4 linked regions of the Cricetulus griseus genome follow. The protein of the gene in region 1 purifies or fractionates together with the protein of each later gene. This does not show direct contact. Links are inferred from orthologs where the notes say so. Each region holds a gene or a part of one and is shown on either strand. Other genes may lie near its edges. The genes, in order: Snca, Park7, Clu and sodium-dependent dopamine transporter.

Region 1 (4,254 bases):
GGGACGAAGGCACGAGGCAGGCGAGGGGCGGGGAGAGGCGCTGACAAATCAGCTGCGGGGGCGACGTGGAGGAGCCGGGGAGCCAGAGCGCCTAGCAGCAGACGGCAGGAGACCAGCAGGTGCTGCCCCTGCCCCTCCGCCCAGAGCCTTCCTTTCCACTGCCACTGAAATAAGATCAGGGGCAGAGAGGAGGAATCTGAATTCTGCGAAGCCAAGGGCGCCGGTAAGTACCTGTAGATAGCAGCAGCTCTGGGGATCCCGGAGAACCCTGGCTAAGAGGAGTCCCGATGCCTGGGAGATCTCCAGCTGAGGCTACCTCAGCGGTGGGGACACGGCCAGTGCATTGAAAGTACATTACTTGGCTTTCCTCGCGCTAGAGACGTGCTCTTCCATTCTCCCAAAGCCCGAGGGGAAACCAGGCTGTTCGTGGCATCTGCTTTTTCGAGCGGAAACGCCAGGGTGTTTCGTGTTGGGTGCTGGGTCCTGGAAGCTGAGCGCTGGGCGTTGGGAGAAACCTGAGCATCCAACTTTCATCCCCCACCCCGGGCACGTTCTATCTCTTATCTGGAGTGTAAGGAGGCTACATTTGGCCAGTGATTAATAAAAGTGCCTAAGGCACTTGGCAACAGGTGATAAGGGGTTAATGAGCACGGGGGTGCAGGGTTTTCAAGCAGATTCCAGTTGAGGACAGGGCCCCCAGGTTGGGTAGAGCTGAAGTGAGCCGGCTCAAGTGTGTGGACAGCGCCTGCTCCGGGCAGATAACAGACTGGAGAGCTAGCAGTGGGTGGAAGGTCTTGTTAGATTTGAACAGCTGGGCTGATGACAGTTGGCGTGCTGTTCCCTTCATCTTGAAGTAAGCAGTTCCCTTCCTTCCCCTCTCCTAAGACTAAACACTTACTAACCCCTTTCTGAGTCCTTTTACCCTTGCCCCCGACTTCAGTACCCCCTTCCATTGGTTTTCTAGACAAGCTTTTTACTTAGAATGTCGCCTTTAGGCCCTGGGAACTTGATGGGGTAGAGTCCACCCATCTTGCCATGTAACTCCATTTTCCAGCTGCTGTAAGAATGGCCAGGTGATCCATCTGGATCCATCCCATCTTTAAGTGGCTTGACTCTTCCTAGATTTGAGTGAAAAAGCTGACAAGCAACACCATGCCCAGTCCTCAAAACAAGCAAGCAAGCAAGCAAACAAACAAACAAACAAACAAACAAAAAAAACGAGTGTTCATTTACACAGAGATTGGGGAGGGGGGGTCTCTACTGATTTTTCAGTGATTTCTTCCTTGATTTTTAAAAAAATTCTTCCCATTCTAGCTGCTTTAATCTTGTTTTCTTTTACTCAAATTTTTAATTCAAAGTGTATTGTGTATTCTCTAGAGTGGAGGAAAAGACATCTTTCGCCATGGATGTGTTCATGAAAGGACTTTCCAAGGCCAAGGAAGGAGTTGTGGCTGCTGCTGAAAAAACCAAGCAGGGTGTGGCAGAAGCAGCAGGAAAGACAAAAGAGGGAGTCCTCTATGTAGGTAGGTAGTGGTGCCGTGACTGATGAGTTGGAGTGGCTAATCACTCAGTGCTGGCATGTGGTGTCTGATTCATGCACATAGCTGCTTCTCAGGAGAGTGACAGGTATGTGGAGGTGAGAGAATTGTGAATCTGCTTGTTAGCTCTCAGAAACAAATGGGAACAATGTTTTCTTTCCTTAGAATACTTAATTTTATTGCTTACTTAGGGTTTTCCATGTTTCTGTGTGTGTGTGTGTGTGTGTGTGTGTGTGTGTGTGTGTGTGTGTGTGTGAGCACATTGGGATTTTTAAAACTGGCAACCCATGAAAAATAACTAAGAATATGCTTATGAATCAGACCCATTTACAGCAGCAGGATGGTGGCATGTGGAATCCCAACATTTGGGACATGGAGGCCCAAGGGTCAGGAGTTGAAGATCATCTTTAGCTACATAGTGAGTTCAGGGTCAGTCCAGTCTACATGAAATCCCATCACAAAACAAAACAAAACAAAACAAAACAAAACAAGAGGAGTCCCAGGCCCTCACGGGACTTTGGCTTCTTTCATCATCACCATAGATAATACTTGTTAATTGCAATTTTAAAAATAAAACTGTAGTATGATTGTATTTAATATCTGTGAAAATACACCTACTTTGGTCCCCCAATAGAAAAAAAAAAAAAGGCAAGTTGTTCTTAGTGGATCTCCCTTTTGAGATGAAGCTCAAGGAACCTCAGATGTGTTTGTGTAATCACCTGGATGATGCACACAGGAAAGAGCAAGAGGTTGATACTCGGTGCCTTTTGTGCCTAAGTGTAAACCTTGAGACAGAGGTCAACACTGTTTACTGGCTTTCCCTGTGTTAAACTGGTTGCACTTCCAGTACTTTGATGGAGGGAAAAGACATATATGTATGCATGCACATTCATCTCCAGCAGAGACCCAGGTGCACAAGGGAGCAAGGATGCATGACTCACCTGCCCCCTCTGTGCTTCTCTGAGCTTCCCTACCTTCTTAGGGGGCCTCTATCTCAGTAGAAGGCAAAGGGTCAACCTTAAGATGGAAATGGAACAGACAAGTGGCAGAGGTGACAGAGAGGCCACACACTGAGACTGAGACTTACCAAAAGTGGGAAGCTGTGCTGGCGCTCCAGCTCTAACTGATTAGTGGGAAAAAACCTTTCATGAACTTTCAAAGTTTCTAGCATATCACCTTTGCTCATTCCTCATAGATTGTTTTTATGTTGACTCCCTTTCCACCTCAAAACAACCTTTCAGAAAGTCTTGAAATGAATATTAAAAGAGAAAGGTGTGAGTCAAGTGCTTCTTTTGGGAACAGTGAGGTCAATGTTTTTGATAGAATCCAGAATATAAAATCAGTTATTTGTAGATTTTTCAGGGCCTCAAAGTCTCCCACATCCTGCAACTATAGACCCATGACTACATTTTTTAATTAGTTACTTAGTGAATGTTATCTTTCTTCTTTTTAGACAACTAGTCACCTAATTTTCTTTTTTAATTTTTTTTTTTTTTTTGAGACAGGGTTTCTCTTATGGTTCTGGCTGTCCTGAAACTCACTATTTAGACTAGTCTGGCCTTGAACTCACTGAAATCCACCTGCCTCTGCCTCCTGGTACTGGGATTAAAGGCATGTGTCACCACCTTCCAGCTAGAGCATTAATTTTAAGCAAATGTAGAAGTTACTGAATATTAATTTATTATTCTTTCTAGTTAATAAACAGATCTTATCAAGTAGAACACTTTCATGTTTTATTGTTAATTGTGAGTTTAGGCAAATAAAGTGATTAGATTTTTCAAAGATTAATTTTGTTGTTCACTGCGAGGCAATTATGTAAAAAGCATAATGTTTCAATAAGTCTAATGTTACTAAAATTATCAATGTTGTTATATTTAATACATATATAATTAATCAATTGCTGGTTATGTTCTGGAGTCTAATTAAAAGCTGAACGTGGGTGGTGGTGGCACATGCCTTTAATTCCAGCACTGGGGAGGCAGAGACAGGTGGATCTTTGTGAGTTTGAGGCCAGCCTGGTCTACAGAGTTCAAGGACAGGCTCCAAAGCAATACAGAGAAACCCTGTCTCAACAAAACCAACCAATCAAACAAACAAAAAAAAGCCAAACACATGCATAGAATTTACTATGAAAAGTGAGGTCTAAAGGTAAGAATTAAGTTAAGATTTTGGTCAACTTTTGTTAATTTTCAAACTTATTTCGGCCAATCTGTCTCAGATAATCAGGTCTACTGTTAAAGTGTGAAAGCAACCATGGGCAATAACCAGTGTGGTGCTGTTTCAGTTTTTATTTATCAAAACAAGAAGCTGGGGTTAACTTATAGGCTAGAAAAAAGTGAAAGGGAATTGGGCTATAACTTATCAAACAAACATAAATTTAATACAAGCTACATCACTTCTACCTTTAGGATCTTGAGGAAGTTAATGTCTTTGAATTTCCTTCCCTTTTCCACAAATAATGTAGTTCATAAAAGTACAATTCCTTTGCAGAGCTTTTGTGGAAATGTGTAACCAAGTGCACTTTCATATTTAGGAAACTTGATTTTTATTAAATAAGCTATTCCACTCAACATGATTTCCTCTTATTTTTCACCAAATATATAAAACTATCATCAATAATTAGCCTGAAGGATTAGAAATAATCTGGGCTACAATTTGTCTCAGTGGCACGGTGGTTGTCTGTGTGCATGCAGCACTGGTCTCGATCTCTGTATCA
Region 2 (3,563 bases), on another chromosome or scaffold:
CAAGATGGGCTATTAAAAGGGTGACTCTGTAATTCATCTCCGAACTCAACATTTGTAGCGTAGAGGGTGTTCTAGCCAGTCAGAACTGCGGTAGCAGCTCAGCTACAAATTAGTACTGTCCTTGGACAAACCATAAGATTCCTGCTATTTAATATATCTGGCCATTGCCTCTGCTTGGTTTTGTGGTAATCTCTGACAAGTTACTTAAAACCACCGAATGGGTATTAAGTGTCGCCCTGTGTCTGTATATTTCCATGTTCTTGAACATCTGCTCTTTCTCCAGATTAAAGTCACTATTGCAGGCCTGGCTGGGAAAGACCCCGTGCAGTGTAGCCGTGATGTAATGATTTGTCCTGACACCAGTCTTGAAGATGCAAAAAAGCAGGTTTGTTTTGTATATCTGAACTTTTCCTTCTTGGGGCTTACCAGTTTCTTGTTTGTTTGTTTGTTTGTTTGTTTGTTTGTTTGTTTTGAAATGGCTTTTGGCTGTATCTATGACTGCCGTTAGAATGGACTTAAGAAAATGATTCTGCCCGGTGTTGGTGGTACACACCTTTGATCCTGGCACTTGGGAGGCAGAGACAGGTGGATCTCTGTGAGTTCAAGGACAGCTTGGTCTACATACAGAGCAAGATCCAGGACAGCCAGGGCTACACAGTGAAACCCTGTCTCAGAAAAAAACAAACAGAATTAAAGACAATGATCCTCCTGGATGGGAATGGCTGGCTCCTGTGACTTGTGAGTGGGTGGGGTGGGTGGAGAGCTCACAGATGGTGGCTGAGTGGGAGCATTGTTCTTCATTGGCACTTTTCTCCCAGAGGCCTCCTTACCTCTTAAGGAGGTGACTTTCTCAGTACTGGTAGCTGAACTTTGGGTCTTACACGGCCACGAAAGGTCTCTGCCAGTAACTTTCATCCTCCTAGCCTCTTCCTCCTTTGTTAAAGATTTGTTTTGAGACAGGGTTTTGGAAGTGGCACTCCTGTGGCCCAGGCAGGCCTGACTCCTAACCCCTCTGTCTGGGCTTCCCTGGTAGCTGGATAATGGGCCGGGCTCCTTTTTCTTCCCTCCCCTTTCCTCTGAGAGTGACAGGTAGAGTTGCAGGATTCCTTTCCTGTGGGGTATTGCGTAGGTGATGTGTAGTTGGATTGGGGTAGAGGTGAGAGCTCTCCTTCCACGGTTCTGCTTTCTGTGCATTGTACGATGACGGGTACTGTTGGTTGTCTTTGGAAGGCTAGGATCACTTTCCTCCAAAGCATCCCTGCCCACTGACCCTTAGACACTACCATAGGTCAGAGGTCATGGCTCAGAGTGATAAGAGATGGGCTGTGCCCTGTAGAGCAGAGACACTGCAGCGAAGGAGGGAAAGAAAGGCAGGTCATGAGTGCAGGTCCCCCACCTGTCTCACATGGAGAGACCTGCATTGCTCTCTAAGAAGTTTCAGTATTGCTGAGCTGGAGAGATGGCTCAGAGGTTAAGAGAGAGCACTGGCTGCTCTTCCAGAGGTCCTGAGTTCAATTCCCAGCAGCCACATGGCGGTTCACAACCATCTGTAATGAGATCAGATTCCTTTTTCTGGTTTGTGTGAAGACAGAGCACTCATACACGTAAAATACATACATAAACAAACGAGATTATTTGTGTGTGAGTTTGTGTGTGTGTTTGTGTGAGTGAATGCTGTGTCTCTGGATACTTAACAGAGGCCAGAAGAGGGTGCTGATTCCCCTGGAGCTGGAGTTAATATGGAGTTGTGAGCCACCATGTGGGTGCTGGCGACTGAACTCTAGTTCTCTGCAGGAGCAGCAAAAGTTTAACTGCTGAGCCATCTCTCCAGCCCTCAAGTCTGCATCTTTCTTTCCTTCTGTCTTTTTTTTTTTTGCTTACAATGTTCCACCGTAGGGATATACCTTTATTTGTTTATTTGATTTTTGTTGTTGTTGTTTTGAGGCCCCTGCTTCCTCCTTCAGGTGCCACCACTATGCCTGCCACTTAGTTATTTATTTTTAGTGTTGGAGAATCAGATCCAGGGTCTCACTTGTGCTAAGAGTGTGCTCTACCTAGAGATGCGTATGTATAACCCCACCTCCATGTGCACACTGCCGGTCTGTGGCAGATGGTGCGTCTTCAGATACGAAGCTGTTACTGGGCTACCATTTAACACAGTAGAAATAAAATGTTCTCTTTTATTTCCCTACTCACAGGGACCATACGACGTGGTGGTTCTTCCAGGAGGCAATCTGGGTGCACAGAATTTATCTGAGGTAAAAAACTGCTCAGTTACACCTCATTGAAGCACGTATGAAGAAAGTCTTGTAGCTTCTACTCTGTTGTGCTGTGTTTGTTCTGGTGTGCACCAGGAGTGGTGCGTGAGATGCAGGAGAGATAGCCGAAGTTAGCTGGTGGTGTCCAGCATTGCAAAGCATGGTTCTGAGAACACTTACTGCAGAAGTAAGCTGAATTGGTGGAGCAGCTGCTGCAAACAGGCTCGGCGAATGCAGCCCAAAGTGAGCTGCAAAGGTCCCGGCTCGGCAGCAGCCTAGCAAGTGCTGCCTGCTCTGTCCCCCGGGCTCGGGGGCAGCTGTGGGGCCAGAGGACCAGTGTGAATACAGGGTGGCATCAGAGGTGGCCCGATGAGGGCCAGTGTGAATACAGGGAGGCATCAGAGGTGGCCCGATGAGGGCCAGTGTGAATACAGGGTGGCATCAGAGGCGGCCCGATGTGCCGAGTCAGACGGGAAGGCGTCGGGAGTAGGGAGTGGGCTATGAACAGGCAGGGGCAGTCGGTGGACAGTTCCTACTGGGGTCTTGTCCCATCTGCCATCTGAAGCTACTGAACCCCATGTCTCCTCACTTCTGCCCCTTCCAGAGCACAGGACCAGGGTCATGTGCCCCGATGACACTGTTTTTTCCTGCCCGTCTTCATTGAGGTGGGCCTTTCTCTTGGGGGGAATGTGGGAACCTGTCACTTTTGTGTTTACTGATTTAGAGCTCTTTCTGGAAAGCAGGTGGAAGTAAACTAAGCCTCGAGTGAGTGCCCTGCTCTCCTTGTAAGGTGCTCTGTGGTTCAGTGGTGACTAGGTGTTTGTGTTCTCTCTCTAGTCAGCTGTGGTGAAGGAGATCTTGAAGGAGCAGGAAAGCAGGAAGGGCCTCATAGCTGCCATCTGTGCAGGTGAGTAAGTACAGGGTGTGGACCACGCAGCTGGCTGAGGGGCCAGCCTGCCTGGAAGTTTGAATGCATACAACTTACCTTCGTGAACCAAAAAGGCACCCACACTGGGTGTTTGGTTAGGGTGCCATGAAGTTGTGTCATTGCCTCACTGAGCATGACTGTTGAACTCTTCGTCTCTCCATGCTCTGGGTCTCAAGTCTGTGGAACTCACTGTTTTCCCTAGCTGGTTGACCTGGGGATAAGACCTCTGGAATCCAGCAAACAGCCTGTCGCAGCAGATCTCTGTGCCAGCAGTCTGGCCTGCCAGGAGAGTCAGCAAGAATCTGTGTGGCCTGAACACCACAGCTCTAGCTGGGGCTCTCCTGCCTCCTGCTTGCTGAGGGTTTGCTTCAATGCCC
Region 3 (3,563 bases), on another chromosome or scaffold:
TCTCCTAATCTTAGGTAAAGTCAGCTAGACATTCTTCAAGATGGAAAGAGCTGTACCCAGCTCACAAGATCATTCTGAAGGGTGAACAAACATCTGTGAAGTGTTTACAACAGTGCCTGGCACGTGGTGAATGCTCATTAAACAAAATGCCTGTCCTCTAAGAAGAGAGAGAGAGAGAGAGAGACAGAGAGAGAGAGAGAGAGACAGAGAGAGACAGAGAGAGAGAGAGAGAAACCCTGACTCAGAAGACCAAAAAAAAAAAAAAAAAAGAGCAAGGCCTACTATACTTGGCACTGCAGACAAAGTAACCAGGGGAACGAGCTGTGGATTGCTGGTGGTTGTAGTCATATTCTATGATGACACCCACCATGAACTGTGGGTTTACCATGGGCCACCAAGGTGGAATGTGCTTCAGATACACCTCATCTGTGTTAGAACAATCTGCATCTGAACTTGACTCTAAGTACAATGGTTGTGGCTCACTGGTGAAACACTTGCCCAGCAGGGTTGAGGCACTGTGTTCTACTGTAGCTCCCAAATAATGAACCTAACTCTAGACATGAGGACAGTAGACTGTGCATCAAGGTGAGGACCCTCTCAGGGACCACAGCTCACAGACAGAGAGCTAGTCTCTGCAGGATAGCAGTGCCAGTGAGTCCCTGGTGACCCAAAGTCAGATGACCACAGTACCAGATTGTAGAATGGTCATCCACTCACCCACAGACAAGATCTCCTGGCATTTCTCACACTGGCCCTTCATCTTCAGGCACCCTGTGGAGTTGTGGCGGATCTCCTTGCACACTGCACGGTCATCTTCACCTTCTGGACACATATGATGGGAGAAAGAGGCAGATTGAGGCACACAGCACTTTGGAAGGGAGCCCACCTGACACTCCTCCACACCTCTGCTCAGCCCTGTGGTCAGGGAAAGATGCCGGTGATTGTTTCCCTGTGGCTCCCAGAGAATATCTCCAAGTCTCTTCAGCAGGTACAGCCTACGCTCCCACTGTCTCTATCTGAGGAGCTCTCTCCTGCCACATTCCCCCAGTTGTGTGCCTTCTGGCATCACAGCACACTCTCTGTTCGCTGATCTCCTTGGCTGGTGGTACTCCCTAACTGGCCATCGAGCCCCATGGTACACACCACACCATGTAGAACATAGTATTAGGACACAAATATCTGAAGGAGAATATTGCTCCTCAGACACTGGCTTCCTCTGTCCATGTTACATTTCATCCCTTCAGACATTGCACACTAAGGTCCAGGCCACGAATCTTCTTTAAGGGCGATAAAGGCTGTAATACAGTTCATGCCTGGAAGGACAGGCTTCCAAAGCACACCCTCAAGAGTCTCTAAGAAAGAAGTTGTGATCCTGTGGGAGGCACAGGCCAAGTCACACCCTTAGTTGGCTACAAAGAACAAAAGAACACAGGCTCCAATCTCTCTCTGTCTCTCTCTCTGTCTCTCTCTCTGTCTCTCTCTCTGTCTCTCTGTCTCTCTCTCTCTCTCTCTCTCTCTCTCATTAGGATTTCTCTCTCTAGATAGGATTTCTCTGTGTAACCATTGTGGCTGTCCTGGAACTCGATTTGTAGACCAGGCTGGCCTTGAACTCACAGAGATCCACCTACCTCTGTCTCCTGAGTGTTGGAATTAAAGGTGTGCATCACTGAAGCCTGGTCAGACTCCAATCTCTACAGTGCTAAATTGAACTAGACCCCACTTTGTCATCTGCATTCCTTTACCCCCTCTCCTAGTTCCTTTACCCTATAAATGGAGAAAATACCAGCCTATAGGGCTGCTAGGAACATGAAAACAGCACACACCAAGCCCTGCAAGAGCTTTAACATCTGGGAGATAAGAAAGCAAGTATTTTCTGACCTCTTAAACCCTTGTCCGGGAACTGGAAGGCTGGTCTGTGGAACTGGACATCCATGGCCTGTTGTGCCTGGTGTATCATTTCTAAGAATGGCTGGAACATGTCGTGGAAGCTCGGGGGCCCATAGTGGGAGAGAGGGATGAGGCTACGGACCAAGCGGGACTTGGGATATAAGAAATGAGGCCTCCTGTGTGGAAAGCCGAAGGGTGAGAAGTAGTGGGTGTCCTGGGGCTCATGGGTGAAGAACCGGTCCTGGAAAAGCATGTCCATGATTCCAGATGCCCGGGTAAAGCTGTCCTGCATGGCATCTAGGACTTGGCTCTGCTGTCGGTCACTCTCCATCAGGGAGTCAATGCGGTCACCATTCATCCAGAAGTAGAAGGGTGAACTCTGGTTCAGAAACTCCTCCAGCTGGGACCCAGAGAAGCACAGTAAGGAGATGTTGACTCCAGCCTCATCCTCCTCTGATCACATAGCAGGTGACCCAAGTCCCCACTGTTCTCCTAGGTACCCTGTCGGCTAGTACCACTCCATCTACCTCTCATCGTGAGACCAGAGACTCACAATTCTCATCACTTCAAGAGAGTCCCCTGGCATCTTTGACCGTAGAGGACAGCCACTCCCACTTAGGTGGTCAGCCTTCAGGAAACAGTGACTCGTACTGAGTTCCAGCCTTGTGAAGCTCACAGGCAGAGATAGAATCAATGCTAATATACTAAATATTCTTAATTCCCTCTCCCTAGACGAGCACAGGATTCTGCCATACTATGAGGCCATTTTACCCAGCTAGTTAAAGGTCTTCTAAGAGATGGTACCTGGCAAGCACACCTTTGATGGTTGTTTACGTCTGCACTCAATGTCAGATATCACCAATTAACCCTGACACTAGAAAGGCAAGTCGTCAAGCCATGCTAGTCAACTGTATCCAGCATATGGAACGAGGCCTATTTCATGGATTCTCCACATTCCCCATCCAGAGCCCAGGCCATGTACATGTCTCCTTCTCACCTGGCGGCCAACCAGACCAGAGCCGCTTCTGCAGACACGTGCATAGAACTTCATGCAGGTCTGCTTCAGGCAGGGCTTGCACTCTTCCCAGAGGGCCATCATGGTCTCATTGCACACTTCCGGGAATGCCTTCAACTTCATTTCAGTATCCCTGGTGTCATCTAGAGCATCCTTCAGGAAGATAACAAGGCCAGGTGAGCCACACAGAGACCTGGCAGGCCTCCCTGGTCTATGGACAACGTGCTACTGCTGCCTTCATTTTTGCTCTAGCCCTGAAGCCCTCATCTTTGCTCTAGCCCACATGTCTTGCTGTCCCTGCTGGGCTCTCAGCAGCCTCTTACCTTTCAAGTACCAGCTGCTTCCTAAGCTTTCCCTGACCTCTCTGACTCGCTGCTCTGACAGTCTCTTCCTCAGGCTCCACCTCTCCCTTACACCTCACTTCCTCTTCTCATCTCCCCAAAGACCCAGTGTCACCTTTCTGTTGTAACTGTGGCCCCTGACATGCAAATCAAAGCTATGAAAACAGAAGTCACATCAACCATCAAGCTCATTACCATGCCCCTGGCCCATCATTGGCTCTAGGGATTGCCAAAATAAAAATTTTAGAACCAGTTCTGATGGGGAATGTACTTCTTTGTATGTTTATCTTATTGATTATTGAATAAAATACTGTTTGGCC
Region 4 (4,122 bases), on another chromosome or scaffold:
ACTGATACATGAATAGACAGATGATAGATTAGAAGGGTGCTTGCTGAATGGTTCATAAATAGGTAAGTAGATGACTGATAGACAGATGACAGATAAGTAGGTTTTATTTTTAATTTTACCATTTTAATACCCTGACAAATTTACCACCACTTAGCTGCAGGGCAGCCTGGCTTAGGAGCAAGGGAATGCTCTAGAAGATTCCTGTTCATTACAGTCTTTAAGGCAGGACCCATTTTAGAAGAGCATATGCATATGTCCACACAGTTTAGGAAAGCAGAACCTGTATATAATGCCATCATCTTGTTCTGAAGCCCCAGAAAAATGGCCATGCCTCATGGGGGGACACATCCCTGCATGTTACCTTTCAGGACAGGGCATATCTTCCAGACTCCAGCAGCTCCTTCTCTGTTGAACTGTCCAAGGGCCAGCTCCATGTAGAAGAGGGGCATCCCAGCAATAACCATGAAGAGCAGGTAGGGCACCAGGAAGGCACCTGTGCACAGGACAACAGCTTCAGCTTGGGGCCACAGAAGGGGGCTGCTTTCATTATCCATATGTGGGCCCTGATGTCGTACCTTTGAGTATGATCTTGTCACCTAGCATCCTGTCTGCAGTGAGAGGCTCTCTGAATAGCTACCACCCAAGGGGATATCCTGAATGTGTGATAAACCCCACCTCCTTGCCTGTCCCAGCCGCAGTCAGTGTTGGACATGTTCTGCTCAATGCCTCTGATTGTCACCCCACCCTATGTCCCAAGCTCAGCCAGAAGCAAGGCAGTCAAAGTCTGGAGCATCACTTCTCAGCATCACTCCCAGCACTGTCTGCCTCTTCATGCCTGGTTTCACTCTTACCCCTTGAGAGTTGTGGTCCTGGGATCAGTGACCTAATCCTGACAGCCTGCTTCTGTGGAGACTAGAGCTGAGTTTCTGCAGTCGGGAGTTTCCTGGAGCCAGAGTGCAGAGCTTGGTTTGCTTAACCTGCACACTCCACTCCACAAAGGTTGCACCCCACCAGAGTCCTCTTGCTCCCCTCAACTTGAGTGAGTCTGAGCTTGGCCACAGCTTTCTCCTGAGGTCTTGATGAGGAAGATGGGAATCTCCTCACCTGTCTTTGGGTCACTTACTGGGGCTGCTGAGGCCTTGGGCCTCTCACCTTCTAAAGTATGTAATTAAGCAATTGTGCTCATGGATTTGCTTGAGTGAGCCCTTCTTTCCCAAAGCAATTCTTTTATCCTGCAGCCAGTCAGGGAGACCAAGCCATGGAAATAGAGGCCTTCTGGGCTCAACTTGAATTTCTGTGTTAACCCTGCTCCTTGTCTTCTTTTTAGCTCCACTGCACAGCTACGGCTCTATAGCTGAGACTAGAGAGTGGGGAAGCCAGGCTTGGTGGCATAGACCCATAATCCCAGCTACTCCAGAGGCTAAAGGCAGGAAGACCATATGTTCAAGGCCTGCCTGATCTACAGGATGAGTTCAAGAACTGCCTAGTTAACAGTGAAATCCTGATTCAAACTAAAAATATCAAGAGGGCTATGGATGTGACTCAGTGCTATAGAGTGCTTGCCAGCATGCACAAGGCTCTGGGTTCAATTCCCATAACTGCATTTAAAGAAAAACTGAAGGAAGGAAAGCAGGAAGGAAGAAGAAGGAAGGAAGAAAGGAAGGACACAGTCACACAGACACACACAGGATGGGGAAGGTGGAGAGAGGTAGAGAGGACATAGAGGAGATGGGTATATTTCAGTTCAGGGGCATCTTTTGCCTTTCTAAGTTTAACTTGAAATTGTACAAAGTTCAACAGCTCTATAAACACTGTTGAAGTTGTCTTAAAATATGTTCTTTTGGTCTTTTAGAATTTTCTTTACAAAGTAGAAATACTAGTGGAAATAGAAGTCAGGACCTGATGCTTCCACCTACTCCCTTCTCCTCTCTGCTCCCTGGGTTCCATGTTCCTTGGCAGTCAGATTTTCTGAGGTCTCCAGCTCGGGAAGACTGAAGGCACTGCTGCTGGTGAGCAGCCTCACTGTCCTACTCGGGACAGGATTGTCTCACTGACAGTATTTCCTGTTATGTGAATGGTCCTGTGTACACAGGAGCATGTGAGCATCTGTGAGGCCAGGCATCATCCTTGGGTGTCGTTCCTCAGGAGCTGCCCACCTTGATTTTTGAGACAGTGTCTGTCACTGGCCTGATGCTCTCTGGATAGGCTAGACTGAGTGAGACTTGTTGGCTATCAATCTCCAAGGTTCTACTTGTCTCCACCTCCCTAGTGTTAATTAGCATTACAAATGTGTGCCATAATGCCCTGTTTTATTTTTTTTTGGGGGGGGAGAGGTTCTGGAGATCAAAGTCAGGTCGTCATGCTTGCACAGGAAGTGCATTACTGAGTTATCTCCTCAGCCTTCACTGTGAGCATTTCTTGAGAGCACAGCTCCCACTGTACCTTCCATGGCCTTCACTGAACTCCCCAAACCAACTGCCATGGCTCCACCCTTAAAAGGCACAGGAGGCCTCCAACACTCACCTCCACCATTTTTGTAGCACAGGTAGGGAAACCGCCAGACATTGGCCAGGTCTACAGCAAAGCCGATGACTGAGAGCAGGAAATCAATTTTCTTGCTCCAGGTCTCCCGCTCCTGAGCCTCCACTGGTGTCTGTGGTGGGTTGATGAGGGTGGAGTTAGTCAGCTGCATTCCATTCTGCTCCTTGACCAGGATGAGCTCCACCTCTCTGGGGCCCATGGCATTGGGCTCTTTAGCCGGGGCTACCACAGAGGACATTGGTCCCACGGAGCATTTGCTCTTACTCATGGGTGGACTGGAGCCCAAGGAACTCTGCTTCTTTCTTCTTGGCCTTCAGTGAACATAAAGAAACACAGAGCAATGCACAGGTTCAGTAGCCATGTCTACAGGGTACCTGAGTTGAGCACAGAGACCCTAGGTAGTCCAAGCACCCTCTGAGACGCCATGGCCAGGATGAAGGATAGCTGGGGGATGTTCATAGAGAAGGGAGAAACTGGCTGTGGAGACCAGAAACAGACACACCCCTGCAGTTCCCTTTCCTGCCAAAGCCTGCGTTCCCATTAGTGTAGGCTTGTTTGGTTTCTAATTTGCTTCCTAATAACAATCCCAGGTGTTGCCTGTACTGCTTATCCACATTTCCAGGGGGCAGGCAATTTCCCACCTTGCCAACAGCATTCCACTTACTTCAGTCTCTGTAAGGGTGTGTGGCTTTCTTTACACTTAGTAATACAATAAAAAGCAAAATGAATATAACCAAAATCAGCCACAGTAACTGAAAGTCTAAAACAAACGGTCATCAGTTTCTCCAAAGAGCATATATACAAATCACCCTGCCCATGACCATGACCATGGTTTCACAGGCCTTTGAGCTGACAGGGAGTTAACCAGAATGTCACCAGGGGAGGGATCAGTCCACCACTGCACCAGCACCACTCCTAGAGAAAGCTTCTCCTGTGCAGAGCCAGGGCCATGGCGCATAAGTGAGGTAGCAGCCCTCATGCCCAGTGACAGCCTGTTTCCACTGAACTCAGACAAGCACGCTGATGGAAGCCCGACATCTGGGTGGCTGCTCTAATGGGGTGACTTCCCTCTGCATCCCTAAACAAAAACTCCTGACAGAAGTTATTTTATGCACCACTTCTCTGTGGCCTCTTTACCCTGGTGACAAACCCAAATGCAAATCCCTCACATGTGTCAAAAATGGGCTAACAGTTTTGCAGCTGCTAGGGAGCAGGTAGGATTGCCAGAATAGGTTGGATGTGAAATGGGCAAGGAGCATAGCAAAAGACCTGGTCCCAAGTTTTGCTCCCTGCTCTATTACAGGCACACAGGTGGCACCTGTCTGCCCCACCTTATTCCTTAACTCATGGCTCAGGTAATGGACACAGATAGCAAAATGGGTCCTGGGAAAACATGTTTCTTCACCAGCTGGATCAGGAAACAGGTGGCTCCTGAGTCAAGGTTCTCTGTCTTTCCCCACAGCCTGAGTTCAGCCCCCGGCTTACAGAAGAGACCAGAGAAGGTAGGGGGAGGGAGAAGGGAGATGGAGCTTTGGGCATGTTGTGAAAATAACCCCAAGGGGTGTGCGTCCTCCAGATTCC

Evidence for each region.
Region 2: the proteins of Snca (region 1) and Park7 purify together in Homo sapiens (affinity purification with western blotting; 3 studies listed by BioGRID and IntAct, with this or other methods). This does not show direct contact. The link is inferred for Cricetulus griseus from reciprocal best matches to the Homo sapiens genes SNCA and PARK7.
Region 3: the proteins of Snca (region 1) and Clu purify together in Homo sapiens (affinity purification with western blotting; 3 studies listed by BioGRID and IntAct, with this or other methods). This does not show direct contact. The link is inferred for Cricetulus griseus from reciprocal best matches to the Homo sapiens genes SNCA and CLU.
Region 4: the proteins of Snca (region 1) and sodium-dependent dopamine transporter purify together in Homo sapiens (affinity purification with western blotting; 6 studies listed by BioGRID and IntAct, with this or other methods). This does not show direct contact. The link is inferred for Cricetulus griseus from reciprocal best matches to the Homo sapiens genes SNCA and SLC6A3.

Annotation. Positions count from the first base shown.
Region 1 is NC_048601.1:81,915,662-81,919,915, forward strand, and holds the start of Snca (alpha-synuclein), read left to right. Parts: upstream 1-1,402; coding exon 1,403-1,523; intron 1,524-4,254. UniProt on the Homo sapiens protein: Neuronal protein that plays several roles in synaptic activity such as regulation of synaptic vesicle trafficking and subsequent neurotransmitter release.
Region 2 is NC_048595.1:5,487,947-5,491,509, forward strand, and holds part of Park7 (Parkinson disease protein 7), read left to right. Parts: intron 1-283; coding exon 284-385; intron 386-2,198; coding exon 2,199-2,258; intron 2,259-3,095; coding exon 3,096-3,165; intron 3,166-3,563. UniProt on the Homo sapiens protein: Multifunctional protein with controversial molecular function which plays an important role in cell protection against oxidative stress and cell death acting as oxidative stress sensor and redox-sensitive chaperone and protease.
Region 3 is NW_023276807.1:220,967,174-220,970,736, reverse strand, and holds part of Clu (clusterin), read right to left. Parts: intron 3,056-3,563; coding exon 2,885-3,055; intron 2,288-2,884; coding exon 1,879-2,287; intron 823-1,878; coding exon 718-822; intron 1-717.
Region 4 is NC_048595.1:368,201,686-368,205,807, reverse strand, and holds the start of sodium-dependent dopamine transporter, read right to left. Parts: upstream 2,810-4,122; coding exon 2,524-2,809; intron 494-2,523; coding exon 362-493; intron 1-361. UniProt on the Homo sapiens protein: Mediates sodium- and chloride-dependent transport of dopamine. Also mediates sodium- and chloride-dependent transport of norepinephrine (also known as noradrenaline). Regulator of light-dependent retinal hyaloid vessel regression, downstream of OPN5 signaling.